Linked DNA regions of Neurospora crassa OR74A. The protein of the gene in region 1 interacts with the protein of each later gene in a biochemical or structural test. Links are inferred from orthologs where the notes say so. Each region holds a gene or a part of one and is shown in the gene's direction. Other genes may lie near its edges.

Region 1 (7,709 bases):
ACAGGTATAGCGCGCCCAACAGTGATACCAAGTTCGCATTCACCCACTCGTCCTCGGTCCGCTGACCACGCGGGGCAACGATGGATTCAAGGCCTGACATGACCACTGGCCCGATGTGTGACGGACCGAGTTCTTTGAGCAGAAAGCGGAGGGTGGGTTTCATCCATCCTGGTAATCCTCCTCCTTCTCCGGAAGTCCCATCCTTGCGGGGAAAGAGTGTGCCGCGGAATTGATGAAGGGGTTTTTCTTTTCCTGGCCCAGTAGTAGTGCCGGGAGTCGTCGTCCTGCCAGTAGCAGCTGATCGATTACTCCTCGCGCTACGTCCTGCTGAGGGGGAGGCAGTGAGGTCATCAGCGCGATGTTGCTGGTCGCGAAGTCGAGAGGTAGGGGTTTTGACTGTCCGTTGGCTGCGTGGAGTGGCGGCGGTTGTTTGTTCTGCTTTTCTGGGGGTTCCACCGCCGCGGCCGGGGGTTGAAGAGGTGGAGGGGAGGATATTGGAGAGGTGGGAGCAGAGGCGCTTGTAGATGCGTGGTGGAATGGGAGGGCGGGGGTCGATGGGGGGGAGATTCAGGGTTATTTTGAGTCTGCGAGCATGTGTTAGTGTTGGTTTTGTATAGTCACAGACAAAAGGTGAAGTAAGGCTGAGACGAGATGAGATGTGAAGGCATGAGTCGAGATGATGAGATGCAGTATCGTACCTGTCACATGCCAGGTGGGCGCAGGCATAGGTGCGTGCAATCTCCTCTTCGGCTTTGAGTGTGCTTGCACGATGGCGGGATTGGGCGAGGAGTGAGCTGGCGAGATCGACGAGTGGTTGTGGGAGAGTCGTGTTGTGGGTTGGTAGAAGTGACAAGAGCGCCTGTTCTATAGAGCGATTCATCTTGGCTTCCACACTTTAGGAGGTGATTTGTTTACTTGTATTTTTTTTCTTCTTCAGATTCAGTAATGGAGGTGGTGATTTGTTGAGAAGTGAGCTTAATTTCAAAATAATGGCTGTATTTGTACTCCTGGTAGGCTAGGTATGTTTCGAACCTAACATGTGTATGAATAAGTTGTTTATGATTAAGTCAGTCCATGAGCCTCTCGAATCACAAAGTGAACAAACAGAACAGACCGAGTTTCGTGACGCGACGAGACTTTTCCTCGTGTAAGACGCCAAATCACGTGTCGAGACTGCGCTGTCGGCGCACCTGTTAGTGCATAATTGCTCCCTAGGTAACTAAGAACTACGTAACATTGTGGGGCAATGTGCGCACCGAGCTTTTAGTGTAGCAGTGCGGGAGGCCAGATGTCCAAAGTGGCGAGAACACTGACAGCGACTGACTCTGCGTTACAGAATAAGCGGCTGCCACCTGCCACGGCGGCATCAGCATTTAAGGCGGCACTATGGCCCTTGATCAGCTAATCAACTTGCTCACCCAACCGTTTCGTTCTCCGCCGCCGCCGCCGCGTCCACTCAGTTGCATCTGCTGCAGTCCGCCACTGAGTGACTGACTGGCACTGACTATTGTACTGTCATTTCCACCACCAACACTTTAGGTTTGCCCTGGTCATTGTGAGATCTCCGCTCCTTCGCATCCGTCTGTCGCAAACAGAGAGAGAGTGGGTGTAAACAATCCACCATGGCTTTCCACGCAAGTGGGCTGCCGGTAAGTCTTGCGCAATCCGTCTTTTAGACTAGCTAGTACCTTAAGTTGCCGTCCTCTTCCATGAAGCTGACCCCTCCGCGCGCCTGCCAGACCATCGCGGCGGCAACCACCGAGTTGTGGCCTTCCATCGCGACAACCCTGACCGTTCCCTTCGGGTTACCGACCTCTCTTAAGGCGCAACAACGGCTTTCCTACAACTCGAACGTCTCGACAGCATCTTCGAACGCCTCCCGCACCCTTGCTAGCTCCCCCGCGCGCGAAGCTTCCAGCTCCTCGGCGCTGCCCGCCTTCCTGAGAACTGCGCCTCTACCCCAGCCCGTTGTCTCTCAGGGTCTAGCAAATGCTTCGCCTACAAACATCTTTTCGGAAATCTCAAGCATGTCTTCCCGCCAGCTCGCCATGGCGAACCCCCTCTTCCGGCGCTCGTTTTCGGCGCTCATGTCGAGGCCCCTGGGCACTGTCAACACCCTTCGGTCCATGAGCACCCACCAGCCCGGTCGCATTCCGTCCTTCTTCCGCTCGCCAGTACACTCTTCTCTCGGTTTCACTCTCCAGGTCCGCAGCTTTGGAAACGGTGGTCTCTCGCACAACCTCCTGGCTGCTCGCGAGGCCGCTGCCAACCAGTTCCCAACCAGCGCCGGTGCTCAGTATGCTTTCTACCAGGCTCTTCTCAAGGCGAACATGCCTGCTATCATTATCGAAAGGTATCAGTCTGGACGTTTCGCCACGAACGAGCAGGTAGACCAGATCTACCAGCAAGCCCTTGCCATGTCTACCGGTCAACCCTACACGCCTGCGAACAACACCGTCGATAACAATGGCTATCACCCCTCCGGTTTCACCGCTAGCCAGATCCATGCCGCTGGTACTGCCGCTGCTGCTCAGCATACTGGTGGAAACATGGCCATGGTCAAGCCGATCGCTGCTGGTGCCAAGACGGGTCCTCTGCATATCGTAGTTGACGAAAGTTTCGGAAGCTCCGCTCTCAGATGGGTCAAGTTTCTCATGTGGTTCACTCTCTTCACGTATCTCAGCATGGTCGTCATCACAATGGTTTTCGAGGGCTTGAGCAGCATCAAGCGCCCCGGTGGCAAGCTTGAGGCCAGCGAGGTCAAGCCTGAGAACCAGAAGGCTCGCTTTGCTGATGTCCACGGCTGTGATGAGGCCAAGGAAGAGCTTCAGGAACTTATCGACTTTTTGCGCAACCCTGAGAAGTACTCGACTCTTGGCGGCAAGCTCCCCAAGGGCGTGTTGCTCGTGGGACCCCCCGGTACTGGTAAAACTCTTTTGGCTCGTGCTGTCGCCGGCGAAGCTGGCGTTCCCTTCTTCAACATGTCCGGTTCCGAGTTTGAAGAGGTCTACGTTGGCGTTGGCGCAAAGCGTGTTCGTGATCTCTTTGCCGCCGCCAAGGCCAAGGCTCCCTCAATTGTTTTCATCGACGAACTTGATGCTATTGGTGGCCGGCGTAACTCCAGGGACGCTACCTACGTACGTCAGACTCTCAACCAGCTTCTTACCGAGTTGGACGGTTTCGAGCAAAACAGTGGTGTAATCATCATCGGCGCCACCAACTTCCCCGAGTCCCTTGACAAGGCGCTTACCCGCCCCGGCCGCTTCGATCGCAATGTTGTTGTCTCTCTTCCCGATGTCCGCGGCCGTATGGCCATTCTCCAGCACCACGCCAAGCGCATCAAGGCTGCTGCCGATGTCAACCTGGAGGCTATTGCTTCCAGAACTTCTGGTCTTTCTGGTGCCGAGCTGGAGAACATTGTCAACCAGGCTGCTATTCACGCCAGCAAGTTGAAGGCTCAGGCTGTTACTCAAAAGGATTTCGAATGGGCAAAGGACAAGGTCATCATGGGTGCTGAGAAGCGTAGTATGGTTATCACAGCCAAGGAAAAGGAGATGACTGCCTATCATGAGGCTGGTCACGCCCTCGTCGGATATTACGCCAAGGACAGCGCAAGCTCGCTTTACAAGGTCACCATTCTTCCACGTGGCCAGACTCTTGGCCACACTGCCTACCTCCCTGAGATGGACAAGCACTCGTTTACTGTCAGGGATTACTTGGGTATGATTGACCGTGCCATGGGCGGCAAGGTCGCTGAGGAGATTGTCTATGGTAACGAGCTTGTGACTAGCGGTGTTAGCGCTGTACGTTCTCCCCTCCCCTTGTTCCACTTGATTAGACGAGTTAACTAACATGGCATTCAGGATCTTGACATGGCCACCAGAACCGCCTGGCAGATGGTTGCTCAGCTCGGCATGTCTGAGAAGCTCGGCCCCGTTGAGTACCTCCGCAAGTACAACCAGCTCAGCTCCGAGACCAGGGCGATGGTTGAGTCCGAGGTGAAGAGAGTTCTGGACGAATCGTACGAGCGTGCGCGTAACCTGCTCACCTCCAAGAGGAACGAACTCGACTACTTGGCCAAGGCGCTCGTCGAGTACGAGACACTGGACAAGAAGGAAGTTGAGAGGGTGATTCGGGGAGAGAAGTTGAAGGATCGCATCTCGGTGCCGCCAGGGCCTATGGCTATTCCCAAGCCCAGCGACACCCTGGAGCCGGGCCTGCCCCTACCACCCCTACCTGGCGACGTGCCGCCCCCGGGTGACAGTGGCCCGGGACCGGCCCCGCCGCCGCCTGTGCCCGCGTGAGGAGCGCAGAGGTGAGTTGAGTGAGTGGGGGGTTGGGTGTAAGTAAAGGTGCGGGACAGGACATAACTTGTTCTTATAAATCAATTATGAACAAACAAAAGCCTGAAATCTTTCTCTGATTTTGGGGAGTTGGGCAAACCACAAAAAGCATGAATCTCACATCACACAACAACACCATTCTAATGGGTAGCGGGGTTAAGGTATCAAATCAGGCACTTTCTTTATGAACTGTATTTTAGTCTTTTTTTTTTTTTTTTTAATTCTTATCATGTTATTATGTTGGGTTTACAAAGCGCATCACTTTCTTTTTCCAAGAAATTGATGAGGACGAGGAAGAATGAAGATTGGATGGGAGGATGGATAAAGGTAGTAGGTGTGGATGGAGGCATTAGATGGCGTTTTTGTGTGTTGTGTTAGGAGTAGTACACTTTTACTTTTGCTACCACTTCCTCTTGTTATCCCATGGTTGATGATGATGGTAATGGTGAGGATGGTGAGGATGTTGGCTACTGCCGCTCTTATATAGTTACTGGCTTGGTCGGGTGTAGGTAAGCCGCAACAGTCTGCCTATAGCGAAGCTGAGTTGATGTATGAAAATATATGGTGCTTTGTCCTGAACATTCACGGCCGCTTCCCTCCCAATTTGGCATGTACCTAACTCTCCAGTCACGCTGAGTGATTGTGTGTGTTTTCCGATATTGTTCCGTATGATGTATCGCGCATCATGTCTCGTGGCGTAGGACAATCAAGCCACTCAAGCAAGCCACTCTGGTACTGGAACACAGAGGCTTCGGAGCTGACTTTGGACGCTACCAAAACAACTGAATACAAGCGGAAAGTTTATACGAAGGCTGCTACTTGAGGCTGAAAAGCAAGTCAATCAACACTATGCATTCAGACTTCAGCCTCGAGTGCCTCGCTGCAAGTGGTCTTGGACGGCTACACGGGCGGAGCTAAACATCCGGATGTGCAAGCCGAGGCAGGTTGGCAGGCGGGAGGGAATGTTTGATGTTCAGTTGATCTTCCTCTCTGTTGACAGACAGCTAGATGGGTCTGTTGTCGATCACTTATTCTAGTTCTTGGATGTGTACCTAGCTACAGTATCAAACATTTGAGTTGCCAAAAATATCCCATTGAATTCTCCGCTGTTTGTTTGTTTGTTTGTGAGACTACTTGAGTTCAAAAAGGTTCCTCAAGTGGTGACAACTGACAAGTTTGCTCTTACAATTGCGCACAGTCCCGGCGGGTGTCACGATGGCACGGTTCTCGGGAAAAAGAATCATTCATTCGTTGAGTTCAGTTGTTCGTGCGGTGCTCTCTCGGAGGACGGAAGCATAAACATGCACCATGAGTGGAAAGTCCATGGTAAAATACGACTTGCCAAGGCAGCAAGCGATGGCTTCGGATGTTTCGTTTTGTTAAACAATCAAGTTTCCAGATGCGACCAGCGATCGGATCTCGGCTGACCAAAACCTAGTTATATGTATGTACATTGCGTACATACCAGAAAAAGTAAAAGGTTGGTTGAATGGATAGAAGGCAGGTAGGTACCTCTATAGTAGGTAAGTAATAAGATCTAACAGATATCATATTGCAGTGATTATGGTCGGGGATGTGAGTCGTAGTGTGCCATGGGGCGGTAATGAGGGTGGCTCCAGTTTCGATCAATTCTGTTACCGGCGCTTCGTTTCAGAGTTTCATCCGGAATAGGTACCTACCTACTTACCTCTTCTCTAGGTGCTGGTTCGACGTTGTCTAGTGTCTAGTGCTTGGAGTTACAATTGAAATAGAGAAAAAAAGGGTTACCGGCTACCACGGCCGGCCGATCGTCTACCCAATGAACTTTATAGGTTCCTGAAGCAGTTCATCTCGATGTCTCCTCGCTTTGATGTTGTGCAATCGACGGACGTGGTTGGGGCGTCACAGTGTATCAAATCATTTTGATGGGGATGGGAGCTTGAGCTTTGTCCCTTGCAGTCCATCAGGGTGTGCATGGTGCGGCGCGCTAAATGGATGGTTAGAGACAGTACACTACTCGCACAATACATACCTATATAGGTACACACAGCGCTGTGCCGCACGGGCCCACTGTCTTGGATGTTAACCCCCGCCCGGATTGCAGGCACAAGACACTGTAGGTTACTGTGCCTTTGCTGTGCTTTTGGTGAGACACCTCAGTTTGGCCAAACCCCGTGTCAAGACGGGATGAATGGGCGGGAAAGGAAAAGCGGGGTCTTTGGCTTGATTTTGTAAATAGGTACACTACGTCCATGCAGGTGTGCATCGATCATTTCAGTTCCCCATTCCATTGTTGACACTGGACTTTCTTTCCTCTCAGGCAGTGGGTGTCGTCGTGGTCCATCAGGTCAGTCCATGATACTACACTACATACTGACCTCTTCTTCCCTTGCTGGCCTCCCCTGGGTGGAATATTCCAGTTTCTACCTCTAGTGTGGATTCCCCCTTCCCGTCCTCGCTTCTTCCGTTCTTCCTTTTCTTTTCTTTTCTTTTCCGCCCCCCCCCCCCCCCCCCCGCAAGGCTACCCTGCCCCTGTCGACCCTGGCTGGATTTCCATGATCGCTTCCCTGTGCCATGCTTTCAACTGGATGCCCGTTGATGCCCCGTGGACGCTGCCCTGCTGGTGCCCTGGTGCTGGTGCTGATGCAACCCCCGAGTTCCCAACACTGAGAGACACCTGGTTAGAGGTACCTACCACCCCTTGCTTGGCCTCTGCCAAAGACGCGCTAACCCCTATCTTGGAGACGTGGGTGTTGTTTTGCTACCCGACCCGGCTGACCCTCTTTCAGTCTCTAGCTACTAACAAAGGGAAATTTTGGAGCTCCGGTCAAGTTTAGATCCCAGGAATCCAAGGGTGTTGGCGTGGTCTTAAACTCTGAAGCTACACCATAACGCCCATCTCCCCCCGAGATCCGAGACTCGGAACTAAGAGAGAGACACGGGCAACGGCTTCAGCAAAGAGAACTAACTGCCCGCCTCGAGTACCTCTCTCGCCCATCTCCTCGGCTGCTCCAGCTTTCTCATCGTATCAACAACAGCCCAACAAAGTCAACAAGGAACGCATGGTGTAGCCAAGAGGCCGCTCGCTTCCTTTCCTTTCACCGCCGCGCCACACTGGAATTGATCCTTCTCGAACTGTCACCGCCCGCCCTAAAAGCCCCGACTAGAGGCCGATCAGTTATGCCATGAGATTTCGCTTCGATCCCACCTAGCACCACCAGCCTGTTTCGCCCCGGTCCAACCCGTCGGACGACCCGTCGATTTTCCATCCTTCCAAAAGACATAGGAGTTTCCCCCGTCATCGACCCCGACTCCCTGTCCCAGTTCCGCAGCGGGAACCTCTGTCAACAATATCATTACTCGCCCCGTCCCGAACCGCTTCTCCAA
Region 2 (7,262 bases), on another chromosome or scaffold:
TTATTTAATTTAATTATAAAAATAGTAATAATAATATAATTATAATACTAATATTAATGCTATTATTAATCCTTCTTTAGTATATTTATTAAAGTCTTATATTATTAATAAATTTGAATCCTTAGTTCGATTAGTTGCGGTTATAGCGATTATTAATACCTAGGGATAATTATAAGATTAAAATAGTAAGTATAGCCTTATATTCTTAATTACTATATTCTATAATTTATTTTAGGGATAAATCTTTAGAATTACTAGAGCCTCCCTTTTATAATTAAAAGTTATATAATCCGATTGAAAAACGAATTACTCCTAACCGGGAATAAATATTTAATAAGACGTTTCTATAGGGAATTAAATATTTAGAGATTAGGTAGTATAGTCCTCCTCCTCCTTCTTATCCTTATAATTATTAAGGAAATATTAATATATATATATATTATTACTTATAATAATAGAGCTACTATTATTGTCCTATATAAATATTTCGTTTTGGATTAGAAGTTTAGTTGCGTAATATACCCAACTCCCCTCCTTCTCTACCTTTTTAATTTCAATATCGATATATATTTTACGTATAGCTTTAATTATTAATACGAACCTCTTTGTTAATATAGGGTTATCCTATTTCTTAATAAAATATAGTATTAAAATTTATTTATCTAAATAATAAAATTCGTTAGTAAGGATTTCTATAGCCTATTAAATATATTCTTCGTCTATTTAAAGTAAATTTAATATTATTACCGGAGTTACTACTATAGTTACTATTAGGGTTACTGCTATAGTTATTTAAATATATAGCTTTAGTATATTGCTTATCTTTTTTAGAAAGCTAACCTTCGCCTAAGATATTTCTCTTTGAATATTAATATTCGCTTCTATATTATCTACTATATAATCTATAGCGGAAGTAGCTTACCTGCAGAATATCTTCTTCGGTTAATTATTGTAATTTACTTTCTCTTTATCTTTAATAGGTATTTTAATACTTACTACCTTATTACTAGTAATAATAGTAATTGCACCTTAGAGCCTCTCGTATAATTTATAATTAAATATAATTTTATTCCTAAATTATTTAAAATAGGAATTGTACTATATTTTATAATTAATTATTATTATTTATAATAATAAATAAAATAAAAAATAAAGTACTAACCTTAATAAGTTCTATTTAGTCCTCTACTTTATATATATACTTCTCGTTATTATATTAGAGACCTATCCCTATTATTTTACTTAACTATTCCTAATATTTAAATTACTATTTAATAGCTTCGATTAATTTCTTTACTTTAATATAGTTATAGAATTCCTACTCCTCTATTGAATTATAGTTATACTTCTTTAGGAGCTCTTTGAAGATATATTCGAACGCTTCTTAAGAGTATATACTATTTTTATTAAGGTTATTAATATTATAAAGTTACTCGAGAGTAAAGAGTTTAACCTCCGGGGGGGTAATAGCCCGAAGTTTATAATTTCCCTTCCTAACCTTCTTTATTTTAGGGTTTAGTATTATAGCCTTCCTCTTTTTCGTTTTAGGGTTTAGTATTATAGCCTTCCCCTTCTTTATTTTAAGGTTTAGTACTATAGCCTTCCCGGCCTTCTTCATTTTAAGGTTTAATATTATAACTTTTCTAACCGCTTTAACAGCGATTTCGGTAGCTTCCTTAATAGCCGCTTCAAGATTATCTAATTTCTTTTATTCCTCTCCATTGAATTTATCCTAATCGTTATTTTAATTATTATTTTAATTATTATCCTAATCGTTATCCTAATTATTATTCTAATCGTTATCCTTATTATAATTTTCATTATCGTTATTCTAATCGTTATCTTAATTATTATCCTCGCTATAATCTTCATTATCGTTATCCTAGTCGTCTTTATTCTAATCCTCCTCAAAGGACCCGAAATCTAGAATTTAGTTATTAACTAAACGGTTAAATATTACTTAGGAGGCTTCTAAGCAACGGGGCCTATTAGTATTAATATTATTAAAGGAGGGGGATGGTAGTTGGGTAATAATAACCGATTTTTTAGTAGAACCCTTTTTAGTAGATTTATTCTAGGAGGTAATAGGGTTATTAGGTTAGGACTAAGTCCCCTACTTATTTTTTTAATACTTTAAGGTAAAATGAATAGAAGCGCCGCCGAACCTCTTACTAAAAGTGGCGGAGCTAGGCGACGATACCTTTTTATATTTTAGTAGTATAGTAGATAGAGGGTAATAAATTAAATTAATAAATAAAATAATTAATATAATTAACGGCTAACTATTATGTAATCGAGAAAGATAATAGATAAGACTATTAGCGATATATCTTTCTATTTAGTAGCTAATCCTCTACCTTTATACTTCGTTATTATATAGCAATCCCTATTCTTATTACTTTATATTAATATTACGCCTTCCGAATTAGAAACCGAAGTATAGAAGGTATTAACACTATATATAGTATCGTGATATTAATAAACCTTATACTGCAAATGCTAGAATAAGCGGGTACGCCGTATATTGGCCGTATGAGGGGGGTGTAGAAGCTTATACGGCGTATGTGAAAGGTAGTCCGAGCTTTGCCGTATGAAGCTATACGGTAACCTCCTTTGTACGGCAACCGTACGAGAACAAACGCAGCCTAACTACATACACTTTAGTGTGCTGTTCTCCAGAATTGAGGAGAGGGGAACTAGGCCACAGAGCGTCCGTCCCGTTGCAGCTTGACGACAAGACGACATTTGGTCGGCACAGAGGAGATGGTGAGACAAGCGGAACATGCTCATGTGGTCAAGGATGAGTTTCCCCCTCACTTCGCCAAAGACCAGGCATGCACATGTCATGCGCCACACTTGACAAGAGATGATAAAATGGCTTCGCTTCGCCGCCAGGTTCCGCAGTCGCGTTCACCGTGCGAAGAATTCCCACAGCTTCAGCAACCTTTTGTAGGTATCCTCAGACCCCAACTTTGAGCTTCGTAGCGTAGATATGGGCGAGTTCAGGCTCGGCTCATTGTACATATTCTCACCGCTTGATGAAATTTACCTGAGCCGCCTAGAAACATATCAGATTGCGATTCACCCCTTACCATAGCCGACGGACCGAGCTTTTGCCGCGACAAGGCAGCTCCACCTAGAGCCTCCAAGCCAAGTTGTGCGTTTGGGATGGTGGATGTATCAAAACCATAACGATTTGGGGGGGGGGGGGGGGGGGGGGGGCGGGACACATACAAGGCCACCTCAAATTGCCACAACGGCTTGAAAGTAGAAAAGCATGTTGTACCCATCAACTGCGGGTCTTGTTTCATCTTTCATATGCGGGCAAGACATATTCCTCCCTGAACACGAGATCCTTCCCGGGTGGACGTCATAGGCTGACTCTGGCTGAGGCTGCATGTAAGCCCACGATATGTACTGCTGTTGGTGTTTTTGGATTTCCGGGAACACACCAGTGCTTATAAGCACTTAAAAGGCGATGAACACTACTGCAGTAATGAAGAAAGAAGACGTCCGCACCACATCTCACTAACCGCAAATAACCGTCAATGGGAGAAATGGCTCACATCCCAGCACCTTTTTTTTTTTTTTTTTTTTTTCTTCTCACCACAAAGCCATGGCCAAAGTAACGAAGCCTTTCGGTAGTGACACAAGACACGGAGAGATAAAACAGCCCATTGGACATCGGTCCCTACGAGCCAGCGGACATGCCGTCGTTGTACAATACCATACTTTGCACACAGTCAGTCCTTCCCTTCACTTCCCCGCCCTGCTGAATGGTGGGTGATACAGGGACGAATTGCCGGAAACCTAATGGGGAGCAAGACAAAGGCAAAACCTCAGATAGCAGTACCAGTGAGGCTCTTCTATCTACCTATACATAGTAAATGTCTGTTTTTAGTAGTGATCCCTCCAGTTGGCGCCGTCTCCGAGAGGTTGTTGCCCTGTGTTGGATCGTAAGGAGTGATGTCATTCCTCACCGTTGGCGTCGGCTATGGTTGCAGTGAAGACTGTTGGTTGAGCTGCCTGCAGTTGTGCAGTGCAGTGGTAGTGTACAATGTTAAGAGCGAACGTTAGTAGCGCACAGACCTTCTTTGCTACTGTATCCCCCGGTCTTGCCAAGCCTTGCTGCCAAGCGCCAAGCATCGAGCTCTCTGCCGGGCGGTGAATTTTTAGAACTGCAGCTTCAATCCATCCGACTCGTTTCTGCCCGTCGCGCGCAGCGGGCCCTAGGTAGGTACGACATCGACATCTATCCATCCATCCATCCATCCGTTATCGATTCCACCTCTGCCAACCGACCAGGACCTTACATCCATACTACAACTCGAATTTCCTCAAGAGTTCGGAATCATCACCGAACCACAACACCAAATCGACAACAATGGATGGGTAAGCAAGAGAGCAAGGGAAACAACAGTCACCTTGTGTTTTTTTTTGTTTTTTTTTACGACAAGGAGAACAAGACTGGACACCCAAAACTAACGTCATCGTCAAACTTTCCATCAAAACAGACTTACAGCCGCCGAGAGCCGCGAGCTCGACCAGCGCCTTCAGAAGCGCCAGGTCAAGGAGTTTATGAGTGTACGTCGTATATACACACTTTCTTTCTTCGTTACACATTTGCGCCACCAATATTCTTCCATCTTCGAGTCGTCGCTACATCTTAGATCCAAACATAGCTACCGTCATCACCAATCTTTTATCCCCCGGTCTTCCACCATCCATCCCCCAACTATCCCATCTACTCGCACTTACTCGCAACCTGTTTCCCACCCCTCCTCCTCCTCCTCCTTCCTTTCCACCTATTTCCGAACTGGCATACCTCAATTTCCCCATCCATCCATTCTCCCCCTCCAACACCACCCCTCTCCACGCCTCTGCTAGCTCTCCCATCTATCTATCCCAAAACCAACCCACCAAACCTCTTACCAACATTCCCCCTCCCTTCCCTCTCTCTCTTCTTTCTTCTAACAAACAAACGAACAAACAAACAGGTCTTCGGTAACCTCGTAGACAACTGCTTCACCGCCTGCGTCGACGATTTCACCTCCAAGGCCCTTTCCGGCCGCGAGTCGGGCTGCATCAGCCGCTGCGTGCTCAAGTCCATGTCCACCCAGACGCGCCTGGGCGAGCGCTTTGGCGAGCTCAACGCTGCCATGACTGCTGAGATGCAGAGGCGGTAAAATAAAAAAAAACTACACTATACACTGTACTACAAGAAGGAAAGGAGAAAGGGGAAGGAAGGAAGGAAGGAAGGAAGGAAGGAAGGAAGGAAGGAAGGAAGAAGGGTTGAGGGGAAAAAAAAAAAAAAGACAAATGTGTATAAATAGGTTCAGTTCGGGAAATAAATTGGGTTGACGACGATGAGGCAGGTTGCGCATACATGCATGCGTACCATACACACATACATACATACCGTAAAGGATATTGCGAGTGAAGGTGTGCTGGTTGGGTTGCAGAATGAGGTGGTGAGGAATACCGGTTTTCCGTTGTGGATGAATATGGAAAGAAGAAGAAGAAGAAGAAGAAGAAGAAGAAGAAGAAGAAGAAGAAGGGGGGGGAGAGGGGGAAACGGATGGATGGTATTGAATACCTAGGATGGATGGTGTCGAGACGAGTCCTACTTAGTTTCTGCCAGCTTTGGCTAGAGGTAGGGAGGAAAGTTGAAGGTGCTTTTTGTCGACATCTACGGATATGACAATTTTCACAAAAAGCCTTTGAGGGGACAACGGAGGTAGCCGTTGTTGTTGTTGTTGTTGTTGTTGTACCTCTGGTAGTCGTGAAGCGTGATACCTACGGGGAGAGATCTGGTACGTGATGTGAGGTAACGAAAAGAGACTGAAGCGAAGATATTGGCACTAAAAAACGGATTTATACAAAAGTCAAGATGTTGGAATCTGGCTGTGTGCAATAATACAACAAATCTTTCTGCGTGGTTATATTGTGATTTGTGGGATTACATGGACAATAAACCTTCCTCTTACTTGATGACTAGAGGACGGGCGAGTCCCTCACAAAAGAACTTTCGAACTGTACGGTCGTCATGCGCATAGCCACCCAAAAGAACATTTTTCAAGGGAAAACTGTCGAAATGCTATATGAACCTAAAACCGGCAATCACGCCCAAACATCAGCTGTGCAAAGTAACACACCACCTTTTCAATACCGCTTACGACTTGAAGTAAACAAAAACACATAAACTCAGTCTCCTGCTACACTGCCTAGCAATTCAACCATATCCCTTACTTTTACACACAATTATCCATCAGACAGACCGCAGCGTTCCAAAACACATCACCACCTTTCAACATCCACCCCTTTACCATCATCATCACTTCTTTCCCTCAGTGACTGTAAAACACCTTCTACGCACCCTCCTCCGCCTCACCCAACGCCAACACCTCCGCCACACCACTCAACATCTCCACCGCCTTCTCTTCCAACTTATTCTCGCACGCTGACCCTTCCGAAGCTTTCTGGCTCCTCCACTCCATCTCCCTCTGCCCCAAAGGCACCAACCGTTCCCTCAACACCTTCCTGCTCCCCAGCCAAAACTCCACATTCTCCAAAAGATTTTGTCTGGCCTCGTCTTCCCACCCTCCGGTAATCTGCGGGATGTCTCTTGCCGAGTGGCCGCCGACATTGGTCATCCTGATGACTGACAGGACGCGCGTGAGGAGGGCGAGGGAGTGGATTTCCGAAATGGCGGTTAGGGTGATGAAGCCAGACATGTCCTTGTTATTGTTGGGACCACCCGAGATAGAAACGGACTTGGAGGGCGAAAAGGTGCGGTGGGTGCCTGGTGCTTCGAACCGATCCACGGCCGCGCGCAACAGATTGGGGAATTGATTCAGCACGTAAGCGATTTCAGGGGCGATGGTGGCGCCCAAAGCACCGAGCATGTTGAGTAGTAAAGGCAGGATGCCCTTGGCCCATATGGAATAGCAGCGGGCGGCGCCAGCGTTGTCAGCTAGAGGGCCGACGTTGGGGCGGCGCATGAAGCCGGCAAGGTTGGCGGACGTGATGTGGTCTAGCAGGCCGTCGCAGGCGAGCTGCTCCGCGATGGCGGGCATGGCGGAGAGCTCAAGCAGGAAGAGCAAGGAAAGCTCGCCGTAAATTGGGTCGCCAGACTTGTCCGTCAGCTTGTCGGCCCAGGAGAAGAGCGAGGTGGCGACTTGGAACACGTCGTGGCTGGCCATGATGTTGAGGATTTGCACCTGGCACTGGTCAATGCCGGGGACGCTCAGGCAGGCTTGCAG

The links. The genes of interacting proteins can lie anywhere in the genome.
Region 2: the proteins of iap-1 (region 1) and tim9 form a complex in vitro, tested with the Saccharomyces cerevisiae proteins (2 studies listed by BioGRID, with this or other methods). The link is inferred for Neurospora crassa OR74A from reciprocal best matches to the Saccharomyces cerevisiae genes YME1 and TIM9.

Annotation. Positions count from the first base shown.
Region 1 is NC_026502.1:976,010-983,718, reverse strand, and holds iap-1 (intermembrane space AAA protease IAP-1), read left to right. Parts: upstream 1-1,422; 5' UTR 1,423-1,622; coding exon 1,623-1,649; intron 1,650-1,739; coding exon 1,740-3,803; intron 3,804-3,863; coding exon 3,864-4,304; 3' UTR 4,305-4,738; downstream 4,739-7,709. Other genes in the region: NCU10376 (hypothetical protein), read right to left, coding at 1-584, 699-880. UniProt on the Saccharomyces cerevisiae protein: Catalytic subunit of the mitochondrial inner membrane i-AAA protease supercomplex required for mitochondrial inner membrane protein turnover. The protease is probably ATP-dependent. Important to maintain the integrity of the mitochondrial compartment.
Region 2 is NC_026503.1:2,971,099-2,978,360, forward strand, and holds tim9 (mitochondrial import inner membrane translocase subunit tim-9), read left to right. Parts: upstream 1-4,212; 5' UTR 4,213-4,384; coding exon 4,385-4,392; intron 4,393-4,514; coding exon 4,515-4,584; intron 4,585-4,997; coding exon 4,998-5,186; 3' UTR 5,187-5,366; downstream 5,367-7,262. Other genes in the region: NCU00199 (hypothetical protein), read right to left, coding at 6,369-7,262. UniProt on the Saccharomyces cerevisiae protein: Mitochondrial intermembrane chaperone that participates in the import and insertion of multi-pass transmembrane proteins into the mitochondrial inner membrane.